Lonchura striata: one gene and its partners. The protein of the gene in region 3 binds, or shares a complex with, the protein of the main gene of each other region. Links are inferred from orthologs where the notes say so. Each region holds a gene or a part of one and is shown on either strand. Other genes may lie near its edges. The genes, in order: WWC1, NF2 and LATS1.

Evidence for each region.
Region 1: the proteins of LATS1 (region 3) and WWC1 are in contact, whole or in part, in a crystal structure (PDB 6J68), measured with the Mus musculus proteins. The link is inferred for Lonchura striata from reciprocal best matches to the Homo sapiens genes LATS1 and WWC1. Residues at the interface, in NP_034820.1 of Mus musculus: Ala546, Glu547, Ala548, Pro549, Ser550, Tyr551, Gly553, Pro554, Pro555, Pro556, Pro557, Tyr558, Leu562, Leu563; in NP_740749.1 of Mus musculus: Asp17, Tyr23, Ile25, Asp26, His27, Arg30, Thr31, Thr32, Ser33, Trp34, Asp64, Val67, Tyr70, Ile72, Asp73, His74, Lys77, Thr78, Thr79, Gln80, Ile81.
Region 2: the proteins of LATS1 (region 3) and NF2 are in contact, whole or in part, in a crystal structure (PDB 7LWH), measured with the Homo sapiens proteins. The link is inferred for Lonchura striata from reciprocal best matches to the Homo sapiens genes LATS1 and NF2. Residues at the interface, in NP_004681.1 of Homo sapiens: Pro69, Lys70, Phe71, Gly72, His74, Ala77, Leu78, Glu80, Ile81, Arg82, Ser84, Leu85, Phe88, Ala89, Asn90; in NP_000259.1 of Homo sapiens: Pro135, Glu136, Ala137, Val139, Leu140, Tyr144, Asn175, Leu176, Tyr177, Gln178, Met179, Met183, Trp184, Arg187, Trp191, Glu206, Ile210, Asp213, Leu214, Glu215.

What each region holds. Positions count from the first base shown.
Region 1 is NC_134617.1:13,832,249-13,839,490, reverse strand, and holds the start of WWC1 (protein KIBRA), read right to left. Parts: upstream 3,087-7,242; 5' UTR 3,003-3,086; coding exon 2,884-3,002; intron 1-2,883. UniProt on the Homo sapiens protein: Regulator of the Hippo signaling pathway, also known as the Salvador-Warts-Hippo (SWH) pathway.
Region 2 is NC_134620.1:2,943,966-2,951,538, forward strand, and holds the start of NF2 (merlin), read right to left. Parts: upstream 3,373-7,573; 5' UTR 3,330-3,372; coding exon 3,216-3,329; intron 3,150-3,215; exon of another isoform or gene 1,947-3,149; intron 1-1,946. UniProt on the Homo sapiens protein: Probable regulator of the Hippo/SWH (Sav/Wts/Hpo) signaling pathway, a signaling pathway that plays a pivotal role in tumor suppression by restricting proliferation and promoting apoptosis.
Region 3 is NC_134605.1:57,529,568-57,536,802, forward strand, and holds the start of LATS1 (serine/threonine-protein kinase LATS1), read left to right. Parts: upstream 1-3,946; 5' UTR 3,947-4,021; intron 4,022-4,427; exon of another isoform or gene 4,428-7,235. Other genes in the region: nucleoporin Nup43, read left to right, coding at 722-844, 2,058-2,272. UniProt on the Homo sapiens protein: Negative regulator of YAP1 in the Hippo signaling pathway that plays a pivotal role in organ size control and tumor suppression by restricting proliferation and promoting apoptosis.

The DNA of each region.
Region 1 (7,242 bases), on a different chromosome or scaffold from region 3:
AATAAGGTTTGATCTCCTGTCACACTGTATTTCATTCCTGAATTATCAAATTTTCAACAGATCTACCAAAAAAGGCAGCTATGTGAGCTTCCTCTTACAAAAGGCAAAACACAGCAGAATATGGGTTTTCTCCCCACCTGTTCAGAAGAATTACCTTAGAGCTTTTTAACCTGAAATTCCTGCAATGCAAAGTACCTTGTTAAACCACACCACAGGCTCAGCAACAGTTAAATCACAAAACTCTTCAGATTATTTAATCTTAGATTATTTCCCAAAATGTTCCAACATCCACAGGCTTCGGAGGACACCCTGAGTCTTAAACAAGGTAAAAGTGCTCTGACATGCAACTGCTTCAACCAAGGCTCCAGGCACCTGGGCATCACTTGGGTCAGCTCTGCAGGATAGCGAGATGCCACCAGGTGCCAGGGACCTCCTCCTGGCCAAGTCTAACAGCCCATCAGCAGGACTGGAGTAATGAGTTAAACAAGAACTGGAAAAGCACCAGCCCCTTCTGATTTGACAGCCCAGGGCCAGCTGAGGTCCCACCTTTCACCCTCTGCCTCTCCATCCCTGCCACAGCCCACAGTCAGGTCTGCTTCCCTGGCAGCCTGTTAAACCAACCTCAGCAGGACTGCAAACCTGCTGCCACTAAACAATGGCATGGCTCATGCCCTGAAGGTAGATAGTATCCCTGCTCATGTTTATTTCCACTAAATTAAGCTAGAATGAAATATTTAGGGAAGGTTTAAACATCTGTGTTCTATCTTTCACTTGCTACTCGCTGATCAGGTTTACAAAGGTCCCTGCTGGCCCTGGGTTCAGAGTGAGCCCTAACACACTTCTTCCTCCACATTCCTCAAACTTGCATTTCTACAGCCATGCTACCCATTACCTATTGCTTTATGCTGGGTTACAGACAGAATGTGTAACAGCACACAGAGCACTGTAGCAACTTCACAAACCCACGTATCAGCTGCAGCAATTTTAAATATGACCTGTAAAAGGCTAAGCTTTCAATCATTTAAACTTTAAAATACAGTGATAAAGTTCAATGTGAATTGTGTAAATGCAAGTTCACTCCCCTACAGGGAACAGGCATCTTATGATCTGATGAAAAATCCCCTATCAACTGGGCTTCACAGGCAGTGGTAATTACTTGGAAAAGAAACTTCTTTCCTGTATGGCGGAGAACAATTTCAGCTCATCAAAGCTCATGGTCCACTAAATGATGGGTAGGTGTTGGGTCATAGTTGTTCTACTGTGGACCAGCAGATTCTTCAAAACCTTGTGGATTTCCAGGGGCAGTTCCCTTGGTAGCAGTACTGGAAGATGACTCAGATGCAAAGCTCGTCAGGGCCACGTGTATTCAGGTGTATTTCTATGTGCACAACAAGTGTCATGCGATAAGAGTTATCAGAGTGTGTTTGATTATTCTCCTCTAGCAGCGGTGAGCAGGTAGATTCTGCGACAGCTCAGAACACATGGCTAAATAAGGCACCCATTTAGTCATTTCTGTCATTCTTGAATCACTAGCCAAGGACACACAAGAATTTTTATAAGCCTGCATTAGGCCTATTAGATTTCTCACTTGTCTTCATTCTCTGAACAAAATAAGGATGCCAGGAAAGCATTTCTAATTTTAGCTTCCATTGACTTTTATGAAGGTTAAAGAAACAACTTGGAACAACTCTGTTACTGGCCCTTCTCAGCCACATTCCTAAAACTGAACCCCAAGACGAGTTCCAAAGCCCTGGCTGGCAGCAGGTTACATTTGTGTACAGTACACACAAGGATTATTCCTGGAATGCAGAACACTCCTTGAAATCTTGTAAAACTGGACAATCATTCACTTCCATGCTTAACAAAAAGCCCATCTAAGTAAACGGAGCAAGGCAAAGTCCTGACATCCCACCGAGAATGGAAGCCCCTTCAGGGAACTGATCGCTAGAGCAAGGGGAAGAAAAGAACACAGATTCAGAAATTAACCTTTCTGCCCCACAAGGAAAACGCTCGCTGTCAGATGGGGAAGTGTGTGAAATTTATCAACAACAAACTGCATAGTTCAGATTGTTGGAATTTCCAACTCGCTGGGATGGATTTTTGAGTTCCTGTTTTTGCGAACTTCACCTAACAAAGTATTAAATGAGAAATTTAAAAACTTCTAATTTCAGTAGTGATTGAGTAGTTGAGCTTCCTGCACGTCCAAACTCCCGTGCTCTGGCTCACCATGATTGCCTCAAGCATGGAACTACAACATGCTAGGACAGAGTGTTGCTTGGAAATGACCTCGGTATTGAGCAGCACCCTGTTTTCTGTTTATCTTACTTTTCCAAGTCAGCGCTGCAGGAAAAGAACTACTCGGAGCGAGCAGGAGCAAGGGGATACCGCAGGGAAGGCGGCGGCAAAGAGGGGCGATCCGAGACACACCCTGAAGTCAGTGACCTCCGCGACGGCCAAGCTCGATGAGGCCACGTAGCTGCTCGCAGAGATGAGCCACGATGCAGGACAGGGCTCGTTGAACCCTCTGCGACCCCACCTCGTCCCGAGCCCCCGCACGGAGCCCCCGCTGCTCCCCGGGCGGGCTCCGAGCCGCAAGGGCCGCATGGCCGCGCCGCTCGCAGCGTGCGCTGCGGCTCCGCAGCACGGCACGGCCGGGCCGGCCGCGGACGGAGCCCGCACGGCGGCGACACGACCCGCTGAGCCCCCTCATCCCTCCGCTCCCGGTGCTGGCCGGCCGCCGCTGCCCGGCCAGGCCCGCAGGTAACGCCGCCGCGTCCCGCCCTGCCCTGCCGAGCCGCGGAGCCCGAGCGGAGCCGCGGGACGGCGGCGGGGACCGGCCGGGCTCTGCCGCACCCCGCGGGGACCCCGCCCGCCGCCGCCCACCTGTCGCGGGGGTCGACCCAGCTGGTGGTGCGGCTGCCGTGGTCGATGTAATACACCTTCCCGTCGTAGTCCCGCGCCTCCTCCCAGCCCTCGGGCAGCGGCAGCTCCTTCCGCGGCATGGTCCGCGCCGCCCCATGCACGGCCGCGCTGCGCTCCGGGGCCGTGCCGGGGCTCCCCTCCCGCGGGCGGCGCGCAGCGGTGCGGGGGCCGCGCCGGCCCAGCCGCGCAGGGAGGCGCCGCCGCCGGGCAGCCTCACATGCCGGCCCCGCGGCGGGGGCGGGCCGGGGCGGGGCGGGAGGGCGGCGGCGGCGAGCCCGCGGTCAGCGCTGGGCGCGGAGCCCCGGCCGCTCCGCCCGCTCACGCCTCCATTTCCTGCTCCGCCGGCGGCCGGCCCGCGACTCCGCGGCGGCACCGCCCCCGCCCGGGCCCGCCCCGGGCCCGCCCCCGCCCGGCACGGCCGCGGCCCGCTCGGCCCCGCGGGCTGCGCGCCCCCGAGCGCCGCGGGGCAGCCTCGGGGCTCGGGGCCCCGCGGGGCCGGGGCACCGGGCCGGGGCCGGGGCTGCTCGGTGCCCTGGGGGACACGGCCGCGGGGTGCCGGTGCTGGCATCGCACGGACGGGCGCAGCAGCTCGGGCGCCCCTGGGCCCGGCTCCGGTGGCACTGCCCTCGGGTAACCCGGCTCGGCCGCGGTGGGCTCCCCGCAGGGCCGGCCGGCAGCCAGGAGCCATGGGAGCAGCCCACGGGGGTGACTTTCTGTGGGTTCCAGAGGGAAAACTCCTGGCAGCCGGAACCTGGGTCCACTCGGACCACGGGGAAGCCGGGTTACAAAAGTAGCTGGGGTGGCACAGACAGCCCGGTACAGCCGCACGCCGCAGGGACGGTGATGGAGCCCGCCCCGCGGGCACGGACCCTTCCCGAGAGCCGCTGCCGGTGCCTGAGCGTGGCTCCGGCACAGCTGCCCTGCAGCATGGAAGCAGCGATGAGGACATGCCCTGCACAGCCTTCTCTCCCATTTCAGTCATTTGGGCTGGAACAGACACCCGTGACAAAGTGTCACAGTAAGAGCTCATGGGTGGCACGGGATGGGGCCGTGGGCTGCGGCGGGTGATGTGCCCAGCGTGGCAGGAGCGCACTTGTGTGTGAGGTGGCACTTTCCTGGCGAGCAGCACCAACGCCGCCTTCCCCCTGCCGAGGGCAGGGGCAAAGCGAGAGGCTTTGTAGAGCTGCAGCTATTGAAGCGCAGAATGGAGCAGGGATCCCTGCCAAGCACACGGGTGGAAAAGGAGACTGGAGGATGGGAAGAGGAGAGCCTCGAAAGGCTGGAGAGGAAAAGTAAAAGTGAAAAAGACAATTAGAAATAACATCTCACTTTTGTGGCAGATTCTGTGGGATTTTTCCTATCAGGCTTTCTGACAGCCTGCTGAGAGTCAGAGCTGCTAATCCTCTGGAGGCCGAAACAGAATGTGGTAGCAGTTGGCCGATGAAGTGGTTGAGCAGGGAAGAAAATGAAGACAAGTAAAATTGAAAGTGAGGCATTTGGAAAATAGCCTGGTTTAACCCCATTTTATCTGAAGCCAGACTTGGTGTGAGCTACTAAATAAGTTGCTATTATGAACAACACTATACACAAGGCTTTTAAATTAATAATAAGTGAAGACTAAATGAATAAACACTGCTTCTGTCCACAGCTCTGAGCAGGGCTTGTGGTTTTTTTCGGCAGGGAGCACTGGGAGCAGCGCCACTCCAGCCAGCAGACACTGGCAGTGCTGGGAGCCCTGGGCCCGCGCCAGCGGAGGGCATTGCATTTCTGTGGGGCACTGGGCTACTCACTCTGGCTGTTAGTTTCTCTTTTCTGCTTTTAATTTTGTGGATAATCGTGTTTCTGTCTTTGTAAAGCGCTCAGCAAAGTGCTCAAGACATTTAAAAAGGGAAAATGTGGCAATAAGAAAAAAAATCAGCAGCAACCAATGCTTTTAAATATTACAAGAGAAGTAAACAGCAAAGTGATAATAAATTATGATGTGTTTTCATGGTCCTGTTTTTGTGGTCATATGTTCCAGCATAGAGGCACTTCCAAAAGGCATGTTTATTTTAAAGTTTTTTCTTCAAATTTTCAGAGCATATTTAGAGCATATAGCAAAAGGCTGTATGTAAAGAAGCTGACTGAATACCCTTTTTTTTGTTCCAGATGTCATCAACTCTATTTAGGAAGAAAGTATTTGTGCATTTTTTTTTAACATAATTGCTTTTGAAATAAATACCTCAGAAAATATTTGCAGGTAGTTCTGACTCAAGTCAAAAGATTTTATTTGTCCACTCCTCTTTATTTATTAACTCAGAAAAAAACCCAACCTGTCGTTGAACCATATGAATTTACAAACGTAATCAGGAATGTGCATATGATAACTTACTCCCTTTTACCACTTACATTCACAACAAAGGAATTCAGCGTTATCAGAGTCTGTTTGAACTGTAAAACAATAAACAAACAGGTGATTGTTTTCTTGTGAGCAAAGAAGAGGGCGATTTGGTTTGTAGGTAAGCTCTTAGCTATGTGAAAAGGAAGAGCAGAGCAGAGAACAAAGTCTGCAGAAAATGAATTTTTTTTTGCCCTTCGGTCAACATCTCCAGCATGACCTCATGTGCTGCACCCCAATCCCACCAGAGTCCACAACAGGCTGGTTACAAACTGCTCAGTAACAGGAGCTGTCTTTATCTGCTGCTGTTTTCTGTTTTAGAGCAGCTGGCTGCTTGATACTTGGGTTTCTTTTTTCCTAATACATTCAAAAGTCTTTAATTTTGTACTTGACACCTGAAGCTCTATTCTTAATTGAGTGCAAATAACAAAAACTCAAAGGTGAAAAGTGGCTGAGGCACAGTATTGGTCTGTTAGCTAACACCTTCAGATATCTGAACTGCAATAGGAGGGAAAATGGGTTTAAATTCGATTACCAGAAAGCAATTACATTTAGCCAAAATGCTACATTTTATTTAAAACCGCCAGTATTTTTCAACTTGAAACACAGTATCATTTCTGTGGAGAGCTCCCTTACTGTTCTAAAAAGGCCCTTCCCTATCCTGCCCACCCCCAAACTGTATGTCAATTTGTTTCCCTTTCCAAATGCACCTTTATTTTTTAGAACAGTCAAAAACGGGTTAGGAGCAATGGAACATTTCATTGTGGAAGTAACCTGAAGCCTTCCTGCTTTCAGAAGCTGTTTCCAGCCCAGCAGGAAGAGCAGAGGTGCCCAGGAGGCAGGGAAGAACGCACACAACCTGCTGTACTTTCAGTACCAACATGAAAGGGATTTTCTGTAAACACTGGCAAAGCCACTTCATTGTTTTCTTTCAAACTACTCCTTAAAAGACCCATTGCTGGAGGCCTTAAATAAAAAGCAAAGGCAGCTGGCATCCGCAAAGCCATCCTGCTGCTCTGGCAGGTGCTGGCTGCACCATGCCTGGTGTCCCACTGGTCCCAGCACCCCTCGTTCCAGATGAGACATCTGTCCCTGTGTCCCTGTGTCCAGTCACAGGGAATGTGTGGCACAGGGCTGTCCCACGCAGGGCAGTGTGGCCGAGGAGGGATGTGAGGGATGGAGAGGGTCACATCTTCCTGCGACAAGGTCACCATTAAACACAGGTCATTAAATGGGATCCGTGCAGCAGCTGGGTTCCCCAGTACACCAGGAAAACTGCTGGCTGGATTTTATCTTCTTGAAAGTCAGTCATAAGAAGTTTCTGAGTAGTTTGTTCATGAAACAAGATGCAATAGAATCACACAGATTCATTGAGGCTGGAAAAGACTCAATGGTGGTCAAGTCCTCAGTGGTGAGGCCATTACACAGGGCTCTTGTGACCCGGGGGGAGCTGCTGCAGTCTGTGGGACAGACAGACTGCCTGGCAGCCACTCCTGGGTCAGGGCTCTACCAAGCCACGGGTCACTATTCACACCATTGCAAATGTTCAGGCCATTACCATGGGCAAGGCTGGCTCTGACAGGGCAGCATCCTTGCCAGCATCGTTTGCAGGGCAGGAAACTCTGTCAGCCGGGCTCTGCCTCGGAAGGACAGGATACAGTGCAGGACACCTTTGACAGCTCCTGTGATTCCTGCCACAAACACGTCACTCGGCTACAAGTTTACTCTGTGCTGCCTTCCCGATCCTTGGCACTTTGTACACCTGCATCAAAGATCTTTATCTTTCAGCAAACAAGCCTGCAGCGAGGGAATAAATTCCTGACTATGACCTTTGGGTGCTCAGATTTTTTTTCACCTATGAACAAAACAGGTTTAGGTGGGTTTTTTTTTACCCCAAAATAACCCTTATCTCTGCTGCTTTATTAAGCCCTTTTGTGCCCACT
Region 2 (7,573 bases), on a different chromosome or scaffold from region 3:
GGCACTGCCAGGGATCCAGGGGCAGCCACAGCTGCTCTGGGCACCCAGGGCCTGCCCACCCTCCCAGGGAAGAGGCTTCCACATGGCTGTCCAAGGTTCTCAGGAAGGTGAGGCTTTAGCACAGGAATTCAAGAGCTGTGCAAATGTCTACCCTTCCTCCAGATGTTATCAATTAATTAGGTACAGCTCAAGCCTCCAAGATGGAAGTAGCCAAAGGAAGACAATTCAAGATTTCCCCAAACAAATCTGAAGTCTTTAAAGTGAAACCCCAACCGTGATTATTAATCCCCATCACTGTGTTAGAAAGATTAAGATTTCATTTCTAGGAATTATTTTAGATTTAGGCTCAATTTAGAGACGTCAACTGCAAAATAAACATGCAAAGCAGGTTTAATCCCTTAAAATGCACAGCTGGGGATTTCTAGGGAGCAGACTGAAAAATTAACACTGAGAAAGAAAGTGAGTCTCCAGCAGCTACAGCTGGGTCATGGAATATCCTGAGCTGGGAGGAATCCCAAAGGATTATGGAAGACCAACTCCAGACATCCAACAGATCAGCAGCTCTCTGTCCCTGTCAGCACGAGGTGCCACTCACAGGCCACAAAAACACATCTCAAGAGCCCCCAAACTGCAGGATTCCCACTGCACCTCCTTCCTCTCATCGTCCCAAGTGGTTGTGAGGCAGACTTCCCTCTCCTTCCTGGCCAAAGGCACCTCAAAGCACACAGACAGCTGTGTGAACAGAGCTGCTCACTCTTTTCTCTTGGCAAACCTTGGGACAGGGGCCAGACTCCTTCAGGGATGAGCAGCCTGACCCAAAAATCAACTCTGCCACCCCACTGACTCCCAGGAGGGCACAAACTCCACTCCTGGCTCCAGGTCCCACTGTGGGTGTAGAGCAAGCTGAGCCCTTCCCTGGGCCACCTTCCCACCCCAGGCACTCCAGGTGTGTCTGATCCCTGTGCCCCAGGGATGCTTCTGCAGAGTCAGCACAGTGAGGAGCTGTCCCCAGAGCAGGACAAGAACTGGGACAGAGATCCAGCCAGGGAGCTGGACAGCTCAGATGGAGCTTGGATAAAAGCCACACCTCAGAAAGCCACAGAGATGCTGCAAGGGCTGGAGCCCCTCTGCTCTGGAGCCAGGCTGGGAGAGCTGGGGGTGCTCACCTGGAGAGGAGAAGCTCCAGGGAGAGCTCAGAGCCCTTCCAGGGCCTAAAGGGGCTCCAGGAGAGCTGGAGAGGGACTGGGGACAAGGGATGGAGGGACAGGAGACAGGAAATGGCTCCCACTGCCAGAGGGCAGGGATGGATGGGAGATTGAGAAGGTTCCCTGTGAGGGTGGGCAGGCCCTGGCACAGAGTGCCCAGAGCAGCTGTGGCTGCCCCTGGATCCCTGGCAGTGCCCAAGGCCAGGCTGGATGGGGCTGGGAGCAGCCTGGGACAGTGAGAGATGTCCCTGCCCATGGCAGGAGGTGGAACGGGATGAGCTTTAAGATCCCTTCCCACCCAAACCGTTCCACGATTCCATAAAAACTCACTCCTCACCTGCAAGGTGTGAAACAGCCCCATCACCCACCTGCATCCATCTATCCCCCCTCCTGCTCCAATATTCCCTGCTGAAGGACGAGCTCTGAATTCCCTCTGCATCCCCCCTGCACCAGCTCCACCACAAGGAGCCCCCAGCAGGGCCTGAGCTCCTTCCAGCTGCAGGAGTCCCTCTGCAGCAACAAGTTCTTTTGGCAGGAACCTCCCAGGAAAGTCAGCTGGAGATGCAGCAGTTCCACGGCCAAATCCCACGGGAATGCTGCACAAACCCCCCTGATCTCAGCGGGAAGTGACACCCGAAGTGACACGCGGCCACAGCACTAAAATTCACATTTATTTACTTTCCACCATCAGTTATTGCTGCAGCCTTGGGAAACCAGGGAAAACACAGCCAGGACACTCACACTCTGCTGGAAGTGGGAAGCTCACACGGCTGCCCAGAGCAAATCCTTAATCCCAAGGAAAAGCAGGAAGTCCTTCAGGGCTGAGAGCAGATTTCCAGAGCCAGGAAATCGGTGATGACAAACTCCCCTTGGCTGATGGGCGCTGGGATTCTCTCAGGGTTTGGGGCAGGATAATGAAATATAAACTATTAAATGCAGAGGTTGGAGAGGGGTTTCAGTGTTCGTGTGGCCAATCCCTCTGGATCAGCTGAAAAAGCAAAGTTTGGCAGCAACGCCCTGGGAGAACGCCTTACAAGTTCCAAGGGCCCCAAAAAGGGAAATTATCACAGAAAAGCCAGACCCAACCCCCCGGAGCATCCCTCAGCTTCATGGTGAGCTAAGAGCTCAGGAAAATGCCAAAATCCTGTCCTTGGGTGTTTGTGGAGCACCTGGGAGTTGGATTCCTGTGGATTTAAGCCTTGACACAGAGATTCCTCAAGCCCTGTGACAGCCACAGTGTAGTGGTGACTTGGGCTGGGATGGCAGGACAGCGCTGGATTAGAGCCCAAGGGAAGCTGGATTGTAATGAGAATAAAGCTGAATTATAACCAGGATAAAACTGAATTATACCCAGAATTAAGCTGAATTATAGCCAAAGTATAGGATTAATTATAACCAGAGTAATGCCAAATTGCACCCAGGACGAGATCGAATTGTAATCGAAATGAAGCCAAATAATAACCCAAATAAAGCTAAATTGCACCTGGAGTGAAGATGAATAATTGCCAAAATAAAGCTGAATTATAACCAAAGCATAGATGGATAATAACCAGAATAATGCCAAATATACCCAGGCTAAAGCAAAATTATACACAGAAAAAAAGCCAATTTATGACCAAAACAATGCTGAGTTACACACATAATAAGGACTACTGACAACAACAACTAAGCCAAACTATGATCAGAATACAACTGAATTTTACAAGCAATAAACACTGAATCACAACCAAAACAAAGCCAACTTATGACCAAAGCAAAGCCAAATGGTACCGATTCATAACCAAAGTAAAGGTGAGTTATTAACCAAAGAAAAGCCGAATTGTAGGCAGATTGTTGTGCAATTATAACGCAAATGACACCAGGATAAGGCTGATTTATAAGCAGAACAAGGCCGAGCCGCTGCCGGCCCAGGGAACCGGCGGGGGGGGCCGGGAGGGACCGGAGGGGCCTCAGGGCTGGGGGGTGGGGGCCGGGCCCTCAGCGGGACCCCGCGCCCGCGCGGGCCGTCACCTCGCAGCTGAACTCCATCTCGGCGTCCATGGTGGCGATGCGCACGGTGAAGGTCTTGGGCTGCTTGCGCTTGAGGGAGCTGAAGCTCATGCGGGACGCGATGGCCCCGGCCATGGCGGCGCGGCACGGTCAGCGCGGCGGCGGCGCCATGGCGGCCCGGCCCCGCCCCCTCCGCCCCGCCATTGGCCGCGCAGCGCGGCGCGCCCGCCCCTCCGCCCCTCCCAGCCAATAGAAATGGGTGTGCTGAAGAGGCGGGAGGAGAAGCGGCTGTGATTGGGTAGTGGGGACGTCGCTCAAGAGAAAGGGCGGGGTGAGGCGGGGCCATGAAGAGCGGCGTGAGGAAGCGATGTGGCGGGGTGGTGTCGCCCCCTGGTGGCGGGCGGAGCGCTCTGCTGGCGGGGACGAGCGCCAGGACCCGGCACCGGGACACCGGGACACGGGAGGGAGGGACACGGGGACACCGGGACACCGGGACACCGGGACACGGGGACACGGGGACACGGGAGGGAGGGACACGGGGACACCGGGACACCGGGACACCGGGACACCGGGACACCGGGACACCGGGACACGGGGACACGGGGACACGGGAGGGAGGGACACCGGGACACCGGGACACCGGGACACGGGGACACCGGGACACCGGGACACCGGGACACGGGAGGGAGGGACACGGGGACACCGGGACACCGGGACACCGGGACACGGGGACACGGGGACACGGGAGGGAGGGACACGGGGACACGGGGACACCGGGACACCGGGACACCGGGACACCGGGACACCGGGACACGGGGACACGGGGACACGGGAGGGAGGGACACCGGGACACCGGGACACCGGGACACGGGGACACCGGGACACCGGGACACGGGGATACCGGTACACGGGGACACCGGGACACCGGGACACCGGGACACGGGGACACCGGGGCACCGGGACACCGGGACACCGGGAGACGGAGAAACGGGAGGGAGGGACACAGGAGGGAGGGACACGGGGACACGGGGACACGGAGACATGGGAGTCGGGGAAACGGGGACACGGGGAAACGGGGACACCGGAACACTGGGACATGGAGACACGGGAGGGAGGGACACGGGGACACGGGAACATGGGAATCGGGGACACCGGGACACGGGAGGCAGGGACACGGAGGCAGGGACACCGGGACACAAAGACACGGGGATAGGGACACGGCGACCCCGGGACACGGGAGGCAGGGGGGATGTCAGGGGACCCTGGCGTGTCCGGAGCCCGTGGGGTGTCAGGGGTCCGCGGGGTGTCCGGGATCCAGGGATGTCCGGCGTGTCCGTGGGGTGGCCGGGACCCCTGGTCAGTGGGGTGTCCAGGGTCTGTGGGGCCCGGGGTCCCCGGGATGTCAGGGGTCCCCGAGGTGTCCGGGTGTCCGGGATTTGGGGGTGTCCGGGGGGTGTGCAGAGCCCGTGGGGCGTAAGGGTCCTTGGGGTGTCAGGGATCGCTGAGATCTGAGGGTTTTGGGGGTCCGTGAGGTCCTTGGGGTGCCCCCAGTGCCATGGGGTGTCCCCAGTGCCATGGGGTGTCCCCGCAGGACGGGGTTCCCTGGGTGACACGGGGTGCTGCCCCCTCGGTGGTTGCCGGGGCGAGGGGACCCGCGCGGTCCCGGGGGCAGCCGAGCGTGGGGGCAGAGACTGGGACCAGCGCCCGGGGCGGGCGGGGACACGGGGCAGGACCGGGACTGGGATTGGGACAGGGAAAGAGACCGGGATAGGGACCGGGACTGCGGCCGGGACTGGAATCGGGACAGGGACAGGGACAGGGACCGGGGTAGGGACCGGCACTGCGGCCGGGACTGGGACAGGGACCGGGACTGGGACAGGGACCGGGACTGGGATCGGGATCGGGATCGGGATCGGGACCGGGACAGGGACAGGGACAGGGACTGGGACTGGGACAGGGACCGGGACTGGGAAAGGGACCGGGACTCAGACCAGGACCGGGACTAGGACAGGAACAGGGACAGGGACTGAGACAAGGACCGGGAGTGGGACAGGGACCCGGACTGGGACTGCGGCTGGGAACAGGGACCGGGACCGGGACAGGGACCGGGGCCAGCGCGGCGCAACGGGCCGGGACTGGCAGCACTAGCGGGACATCGGACGGGGCTGGGAGCAGGACCAGCTGCGGTAACGGAACCGGGACCGTCCCTGGGATGATGGGACGGTGAATGGGACCCGTCACCAGGGCAAGGGGACGGGACCGCCGCCCCGATCGGTGTGGGATAACGGGCTGGGAACTGGGACGGGCACGGGAGAACGGAACAGGAACCGGGATCCGCTCAGAGTTACCGGCACGGGGATAACGGCAGGGACTGCGATCAGTCCAGGGACACTGGGATGGGAACTGGGACCAGTTTAGGGTTCCTTGGACAGAAACCGGCACCAGCACAGGGGGACGGGGCGGACCAAAATCCGGCAGGAGCAGGAGGGGGAAGGGAGCAGCGGGAGCCGAGAAGCCCCCCCGACACCCCTGGGGGGACTCAGGCGTCCGGGAGCAGCCCCCGCCCCCGCAGCGGGAAGAACGGGGCCTCTGTCCTCATGGGGACAATGGGGACATTGATGGGGACCCCCCCGCCCCCCGCTGCACCCGCAGGACCCCCCATGGCAGAAAGCGACGACCCCGCCCGCCGGGACCCCGCTGGCCCCCGCACCCAGGTGGAAGAAGGGGGTGGGGGCAGCGAGGGGGAAACTGGGGAACCACGGGGGGATGGGGGGGTCGGAGAGGCTGGGGGGGTTTTGGGGAACCCTGGGCACCCGAGGGAGCTCGAAGGGGGCATGTGGAGCATTGGGGTGTGCGGGGGAGCCCAAGACTCCATAGGGACTTACGGGGCACAAGGGGGGGGGGGGGGCTCTGGGCAGCTGGGGGGGCATTGTGGGGTGCAAAGATAAATAGGGGTAGGAGGGCTGGGGGGCTGTAGGGGTGCTGGGGGGCCCTTCCTTGGCCCCCCGCAATGGGTGACCCCCCTGCCCAGCCCTGCCGGCCCGTGCCGAGGGTCCACGCCTTTGGAAAGGGGGAGCAGGCGCTGCGGAGGGACCCCCGCAGCCCCCCCGCCATGCAGGGCTGGCTGCACAAGCAGGTGAGGCAGGGGGCCAGGGGAGGGCTGGGGAGGGGGCTCAGGGGTCGTACGGGGGTTTCTGGGGGGTTTGTGGATTTTGGGAGGACCTGGGGCGGTGGGGAGGAGCTGGGGGGAGGGTCTGGAGTGTCAGGGGGTTATGGGGGTGGGTGTGGGGCTCGGGGGAAATCGGAGGGACTTGGGGGAGGTCGGTGGGGGGTGAGGGAGGGTTGTGGGGTCTGGGGGCTTTGGGGAGATCAGAGACACGTGGTGGGATGGGGCAGCGTGGGGCGGTCATGGGGTCGGAGGTGGAAGAAGGTGCTGGGGGGTTACGGGAGTGAGGAGCTTGGGGGGATCGGAAGGGATTGAGGGGTCTGGGGCAGCAGAGGGTCCCGGGGGGGGGGGATGGGCTGAGGGGGCTCAGCCCCCATCCCCCCACCCCCGCTTCTCAGGACAGCTCGGGGCTGCGGCTCTGGAAGCGCCGCTGGTTTGTACTGGTGGATCTCTGCCTCTACTACTACCGGGGTGAGAGGGGCACGGGGGGCTGGAGACACCCGGGGGGCGTGGGGACCTGGTGTCCCTGGGAGGGGGGTCAGCGATCCCGGGGTGTCCCTGGGTCACTGGGGGGTCCCGGGGGGCTCAGGGGTCCTGGGGTGTTGGGCAGTCCTTGGAGAACCAGGAATCCTGGGGGAATGGGGGGTCCCTGGGGCAGTCAGGGATCCCAGTGGGATCAAGGATCCCTGGGGCATTTGGGGGTCTATGGAGGAATCAGGGAATTCTTGGGGATTTGGGGGGATCTCTGGAGCATTGGGAACTCCTGGTGATTGGGGTCTCTGGAGCATTGGGAACTCCTGGAGATTGGGGTCCCTGGAGCATTGGGAATTCCTGGGGATTGGGGGGGGTCCCTGGAGCATTGGGAATTCCTGGGGATTGGGGGGGGTCTCTGGAGCATTGGGAATTCCTGGGGATTGGGGGGGGTCTCTGGAGCATTGGGAATTCCTGGGGATTGGGGGTCTCTGGAGCATTGGGAATTCCTGGGGATTGGGGGGGGGGGGTCTCTGGAACATTGGGAATTCCTGGGGATTGAGGGGGGTCTCTGGAGCATTGGGAACTCCTGGAGATTGGGGGGAGGTCTCTGGAGCATTGGGAACTCCTGGGGATTTGGGGTCTCTGGAGCATTGGGAACTCCTGGGGATTGGGGGTCTCTGGAGCATTTGGAATTCCTGGGGATTGCGGGGGTGTCTCTGGAGCATTGGGAATTCCTGGG
Region 3 (7,235 bases):
AGTAGACTTAGTAAGCAATTCTTTAATGAGCTGTTAGATGCATTTGATCAGAACGGCTGTGCTTCTAGCAGGGTAGTTGTATACACAACCATGGAAGCTAGTGCAGATAGAGTAAAGCAAAATGCAGATACTAACAAACTTGAAAAAATGAGGAAGAAGGGGAGACTCAGCATTCATTTGTTGTCTTCACAGTGCTGAAACAGCTCACTTTCCTGGTAACTATGTGAACAGGACAGCAATTAATTTTATGCAGAAAATCCTGTGATTTGATGCTACGTTTAAATTAAAGGAGTAAAAGTATTTCTTGATATTAAATTTTACTGACTTAAATGTCTTCTGCAGTTGTGGTATTTAGACACAAAATAATGTGTGTCCTGGGAAGGAATGCACGCTATGTGCGGATTTAAACTTAACAGCAGGAGGGAATATGACATGATAGTATGCAAAATGCCTGAATTCACATAAGACCTTAACAATTTTCACAGTACTAAAAATGCAACAAAATAGCATCTTTTTCTTTGTTTTTCTTCTCTACCACTTTACCCCTGCCAGCAGAGGGAAAACTGCAGTATATAACTTAGGATGGGGCCTTTCAATTAAAAATGAAAGGTTTTGATGGAGGCATGGGTTCTTGTAAATACATGTCTATATCATACTATCCAAATACTTTGATTGAAGTACTTGAGACTTCTTCTAAAGTGGTTCTGTTTGATATTTCCAGTGTGGGAAGTTCACTTCCATCCCTCTGACCCTGATCATTTATTCACGTGTTCTGAAGATGGATCTCTTTGGCACTGGGATACTTCCACAAATGTATCTGAAAAACCATCTTTCCTTCATCAAGGTAAGGATGTTTGAAGTCCATCTGCACAGAATTTGTCAGTTGGTAACATCATTACAGTCAGTGTTCTCACATGACCCAATTAATAACACAATCTTAATACAGAAAATTAAAAGCAGCTTTCTTTTCTTAGAAAGCAAGCTTAGATAAGCACTTTTCTTGGATAAACACTTGAGAAAAACTACTTATACGGCAAACAGTTGTGCAGGGCTTTTCATGGTCTGGTTTGGTTTTTTTTAATCTGCTACCCTCTGACCAATGTGTGAAGGGTAGACTATATTCACTTAAAAATCATCTGTATGTAGAAAAGACACAGAGACAGCCTGACTGACATTTTTGAGTCTCCAAGGGAGTTACACTAACTTAGAATACAAAAATAATTGATAGGTTAATGAGACAGTAGAATTATGAATTTACAATTCAGGGTAATAATTGGAATTTTCAATAAATGAAACATTTTTGATCCTTTTGCATGGTGGCAGGATTTTAAAGTTATGATACTGACTTTTAATATATGCATTTATTTTCACATTCTAATCACAAAGACTGCTAAGTGCTTGCCACATTAGACAATAGTGGGGAAACTTTTAGATGTCACCTGTTGCCTTTGGCCTCAAAGTTGTCATTCAAAGTTTTATCTATGGAAATTATAGGATTACTAATTCAAGTTGGACTCTGCATGTTTTCAAGTATATGAAGTATAAATCCTTCAGCATCACTTCCAACACCTGCTAATCTTATGCTGAATGATGGTTCTTACAGTATGAGACTTCAATTTGAAAAATTCAAAGTCAAATACAGATTTATCACTTGCTGCAAAGTATGGAGGAAGAGCAGTAGGGAATAAGTGTTATTGTCGCAAGTTGAAAACCCCAAATAGAGGAAGACACTCTATAAACAGACGTGTTCTTGTACCCTTGCTTTAGTATCTGGCTAAAGAAACTTGCAGGTACTTACACCGTCCGGTGAGATGAGTTAATAGCTGTTGTGATATATTTGTCTTAACTGAGGGTAGAGCTGGTAGATAATTTTTGTAATTATTTCAAGTACTTGATTTTTTAAAGTTTCTTTTTCCTTAATTGACATCTCAACTACTCTGAAAACTGACTTAAATGTAATATTTTCATTATGTCTGACCCATATCTACTGTGTTTCTCCAAATTCTGAGAATATATAAACAGAATTGAAATTTATTTCTTTGTCTTCCTTCTTTCAGGAGGAAGAAGCACTGCCTATCTTTCCCACAGTACCATTAACCAGTCTGTAGTAAGTGCCTGGCTAAGCAGTGATCCGACCAAAGACCGCATGGAAATCACCAACCTGATTCCAAATCAGACTTTGTCTGTGAATAGTTTAGACGTTCTAGGACCATGCCTGGTATATGGTACTGACGCGGAGGCTATTTATGTGAACAGACACCTTTTTGCATGAAGTGACTGTGGGATCCCTTTGAAGTATTGACCAGCTTGAAGTACTGGGAAATGTCAGGTTCATTCTTAACGCTACTCACTAGTCTGTTGTTGGCGTGTGTGGGAGAGGCATCAGCTTGGTCCTGGTGCTGTGGAAGAAGTGAGGTACTTCACATTCTGACAGCTGTCACTTGATGCTCCAGGATGGGTAACTGAGCAAGCTTACATGCCATTTCTTACCTACTGCCTGCTTAGTTTTGACAAGCAGGAAAGTAGTCACTAAGGGCAAAATCTTTGCTGCAAAGTGATGTCCATAATACACATGTGCATAAAAACAGAAGAAAAGGTAAACCCTGAATTTTTATTTTTCCCTGTAAAGATATTTTTCAAGTATCATTTCTAAAGCAAAACCGTGGGCTTTGTGGAAATTCTTTTTATGTCACCTGAAAGAGATGGGTTTTTTTTTTAAGCTGAGTTTTTATATATATAGGGGAACATAACTGTTTATGTTGGTTCATGAGTTGGAAGGAAAACAGTTAAAGCTATGAAATGTGAAAGGTTCTATAGGAATCTGAGCATTATAGCAACATTATTTTGAATTATTCACAGCTTCATCATGGATGCTACATGTTAAAACTTGATAATACACCAGTAAATCTCCAAACAGAAAAATGGGGTTTATAATTCAGTAATAATTGACAGATGTGTTGGCTGTGTTTTCAGGTGTAAAAGTAAGACTTTCTAAACTTGAGACATAGTCTTTGTCACAAATTCACATCTGGGTTATTGAAATCTTTGTAAAGTTTTAAATTTTGTTATTAGCATTGTATCTGCTTTTTGTTACAGAGAGCCCTTTCTCTTTTTATTAAAAAGTTTTGCACAAGAGTAGTTGTCTGACTTACTAAAATAATTCAAATAGCTGTGCTTGCAGGAATGTAATTGGATTGAGCCTGGGTATTGAGCCTGAAGGATGGAGAAACCTCTGTGTTTGGGCAGGAACAGGTTAGTTATGAGGTGTTACACGGCATTTCCACCATAACCACTCTAGAGTGGTACTTTAAATCACGTCGGCGCGAGGGGCCTGGGTCTGCTGGGGCTGGAACACCTTACCTGATGCACATCTGTGTGTGTCTGGCTGCAGGAGCTGGATGGGGCGCTGGGGACAGGGCAGTCCTCCCTTTGTGTGGGGCAAGGTGTACTGAGTTGCCAGTGAGCTCCTTAGAGCAGCTTAAAGTTTTGCTTCCCGATTTATTTGAAATGTAAAAGATGGAAATGAAATGGATCACGCCAAGCGCTAACCGGTGGGTTTTCCTTCCTGTTGGTCTGTAACGAGTCCATCATTCGGGCATCAGTTGAAACACGAGGCTCGGCGGAACTTTCTCCTCCCCATTAAAAGAGAATGGGAAAACCAGAAGATGGGGATTTGTCCGCGGTGCCCGGCGCTGTCCCGGGAGAGCCGCGCTGCGCGGGCGCGCAGGGGTTACAGCGGGCCGCAGCTCCATCCGGGAGCGGCGGGAGCCGCGCGAGGCAGGCCGGGAGCTGCCCACATCCGGGCGGCTCCGCGCCGGGGACACCGACAAAATGGCGGCGCCGAACTGAGCGGCCCGGGGCGGCGGCGGGCGCTGGCGGAGGGACCGAGCGGGCGCTGCCGGCATCGCCGAGGGGCGGAGGAAGGGCGGAAGGAAGGGAAGGGCCGCGGCCGGTCGGCGCCGCGCGGGCGGGGCCGAGCTCCGGGCGCCCGGGGCGCTGCCCCGCCGCCTTGTCGCCTCAGGTAGAGTCCGCCGTGCGCGGGGCCGGGGCGGTAGCGGGCCCGCTCCGCTCGGCCCGACGTCCTGGGGCCTCTGCGGGACGCAGCCGTGGCAGCAGCGACGTCAGGGCACGGCCTGGGGCCGGCGAGGCGGCAGAAGCGCTGGTGTCCCAGCGGGGTACATTCGGGGTGCTCCTCCCGGCCGGGAAAGCCTCCTGCCTGCCTGGTCCTTGGGAGCCGGGTGCTGCTGTCCTGCAGCGATCCGTGCCGGCCTGAGCCAGCGCAGCGGGGCTCTGGCTGCCCTGCAGGTGTTAGCCCTGAAGATCGCTCCCAGGTGCGCCTCAAATGACTCCTGCTGCTCCCGGGAGTACATGTGTACGTAGAGAAGCTGCATCCTGCTAAAGGAGATAGCAGAGCGTAAGAATGGAAACAAACCGAGCGAGTGCACCAATGTTCCTAGTGTTCATCTGGTCTCTGGTTCTTCCCAGCTCTGGCTTCTCTGACCATATGCAGTTGTGCTTATGTGCTAATTTGGGGGTCCAGTTTTCTCCTTATCCTATGAAAACTTTTTGCATTGGAAGTGCATCCTTTTGGGGAATTGCTGTTGCAGCTCAATGGCTTGTTACCTGAAAGAAGAGCTTCCTTTAGTCGGTCTGAACAAGTCCTTACAAACTTAATTTTATGATTTGTGAGGTTTCTGTTACTTTGTTTATCCCTAGCAATGAAGCATTGTGATTATGTATAAGCTCTTACAATAGGTACATGAGGGAGGGCACCTACATACATTAATATGTGATGTTCAGTACTCAGTTGGCAATATGGGCATTGAAAGTATTTTTATAAGGAAATTTTATAACTTATTTTTATAAGTTAGATTACAAAGCTGTGTATTTTTACCCTCAGAAAATCATGGGAATCATTGACAGTTGCATGTTGCCATTCAGAGCATCACAGGCTGGTTTGGGTTGGAAGGGACCTTAGAGATAATCTCTTGTCAGCTCCCTGCCCCTAGACCAAGTTGTTCCAAGCCTCATCGGGCCTGGCCCTGAACACTTCTGAGCTTTCATCCAAGCATTTATATAAATATAAGTCCAATCTTTTATGATTATAATGTAGAAAAAAACATGATGGGCGTTCTTTTCCCTTACAGTTTGACCTGTAGAAGAAAATACTGTATTCCCATATTTTGAAAAGAAGTGAAAGATTATTTTTTTCAATTCCTCAATTCCTTTAGGGAAGAAAATTTAATCAGCAAAAACAGCTGCATTGACAAACAGATTATTTAAGGACACAAAACTACAAGAGGGAATAGACATCAGTTCTCTTGGGTACAGTTGGTGTTTGGTACTTAGAAGTACAAAGTTTGGATACTCACTTGAGATACTTACTCAACACTCTCTTCCTTTAAAATGTGTGCCAGTGTCTATAAGCAGAGGTGACTTTTGAGTTTTGAGATTTATATATAAAGCAAGGTAAACTCTAGTAATTCCTGTTCTCTGGAGGACTAATTTAATTTGTTTTCTAAGAATTAAGACTTAGTTTCACATGTACATGCTGGTACCCATCAGTGCTGTCAAAAGGAACAACCCACCAAAAAATGTTATTTATTTGGCTAAGTTCCTTAGCTTGGTTCATGCTGTCTGTCTGACCTTACAGTTATGCTGTCTGTGGTAAGTGGTGGGAGATAAGTGGACTGGCTGGTTTACACTTCTAAACTGCTGCTAAAAATTTAAGTTGGAGTGCAGCTTTATTTCCCAAGACTGCTCCTGATCTATGATTTTAGTTTCCTGTTAATTTAACCTTGATTTCTCCTAGAGGGTGTTAGATTTATCTATGCCAGCTACCCGAGGTGTAACTATGAAGTGAATATGGAAATACCAGATGAAATTTCTAAAATATGTCAGTGCAAAACCCCATTTTCTCCTGAATTCCAGGCCTTTGGAATTTGTTAAAAACTTGTGTATGGGTATTTTGTCAAGTTCTTACTTAATTTTCTTTGGAAAAAGTATTTTCAATGTGGTCTTAAATACGGCATGTTTGGAAAATTATTTTGAAAGTGGCCAAAATTAAATTACATTTTAATAGCTCTCATGCTCTACTTTCTGCTGATTTCTTAATACTTTGGGCAATATTTCACTGTTGATTATTAAAATTCACTCATGTCTGATGATCTCTTCCTTATTCAGTGAGCACTGAAGAATTAGATGCTATCAGACTGTATTAAAGAAACATATAGCTCCCCAACTACACTCATTTAAGGTTTCAAAGCTATCACAGTGCAAAGAAGGCTTGTGGTTGCAGTTATACCCCTTAAGGTTTAGAAAGTTTCATAAGAGAAATTCTGTTATTTCTAAAATGGTTCTCCAAGGAGAATGGGATTAAGTGGATATACCTTCAGTGTTACTTTTTGCAGTCCTTTTTTATGTATTACTTCCTAGTTTTCAGGTTTTATTTATATATAGGTAGCATGAGTATTTAATTCATATTATCTGCATGTGTTTCAGACGGTTCTTTTTCCTATTAACTTGTCATATTCTTCCTCAATTGCTTGATCACTGATTGGTTTGTGACAGTGCAAGTATTATAGAAATGAAACCTGAATGAAGAAAGAGTGACTTTATTGTAGACTGTAAAATTTTGGTACTTGTTTAATTTATGTCTAATATCAGAAATGCTTAGCAACAAGTAGTGAAGGAACACTGTGTTGGGCTTCAACATTTTTGTTGCCTGTGAAGAAAAGACAGCGCTGAAGCTTTTAGTTTATCTTGCACTATCTTAGTAACTGATCTTCCTCTGTGAAACAGTACGGACTGAAAAAGTTTAATTCCATGGTATTCTAAAGAGGCAAATGCTCTGCAATTTCTTCAGTGTTTCACTGTGGTTGCTTTATCCTTTGCCATGCAGTTGCAGTAATAATTAATGCCCAGCCTGAACACAGAGATTTGAGTTCTCTGCACACACAGGGCTCTTTCCCTGATGAGTCAGCGCCTTCAAAATGCAAACGTTTTTTATTTGGCTTTTGGCAGAAAATTCTGTTTCCCTTACCAAATGTCATAGCTATGCTCTCAGTGAATTTGATGCTTGAGTTGTTAAACAATTTTTCAGTAAAAAAAAAAAAACTGATAAAAATTTTCTTTGTTTCTCTTTCTGCTCTCATTTTCCCTTATGTAAAATAAATTTTAAAATTACTTAACTATTGATGAAGACTGGTTCAAGGAGACTTGAGCTAAGAGACTGT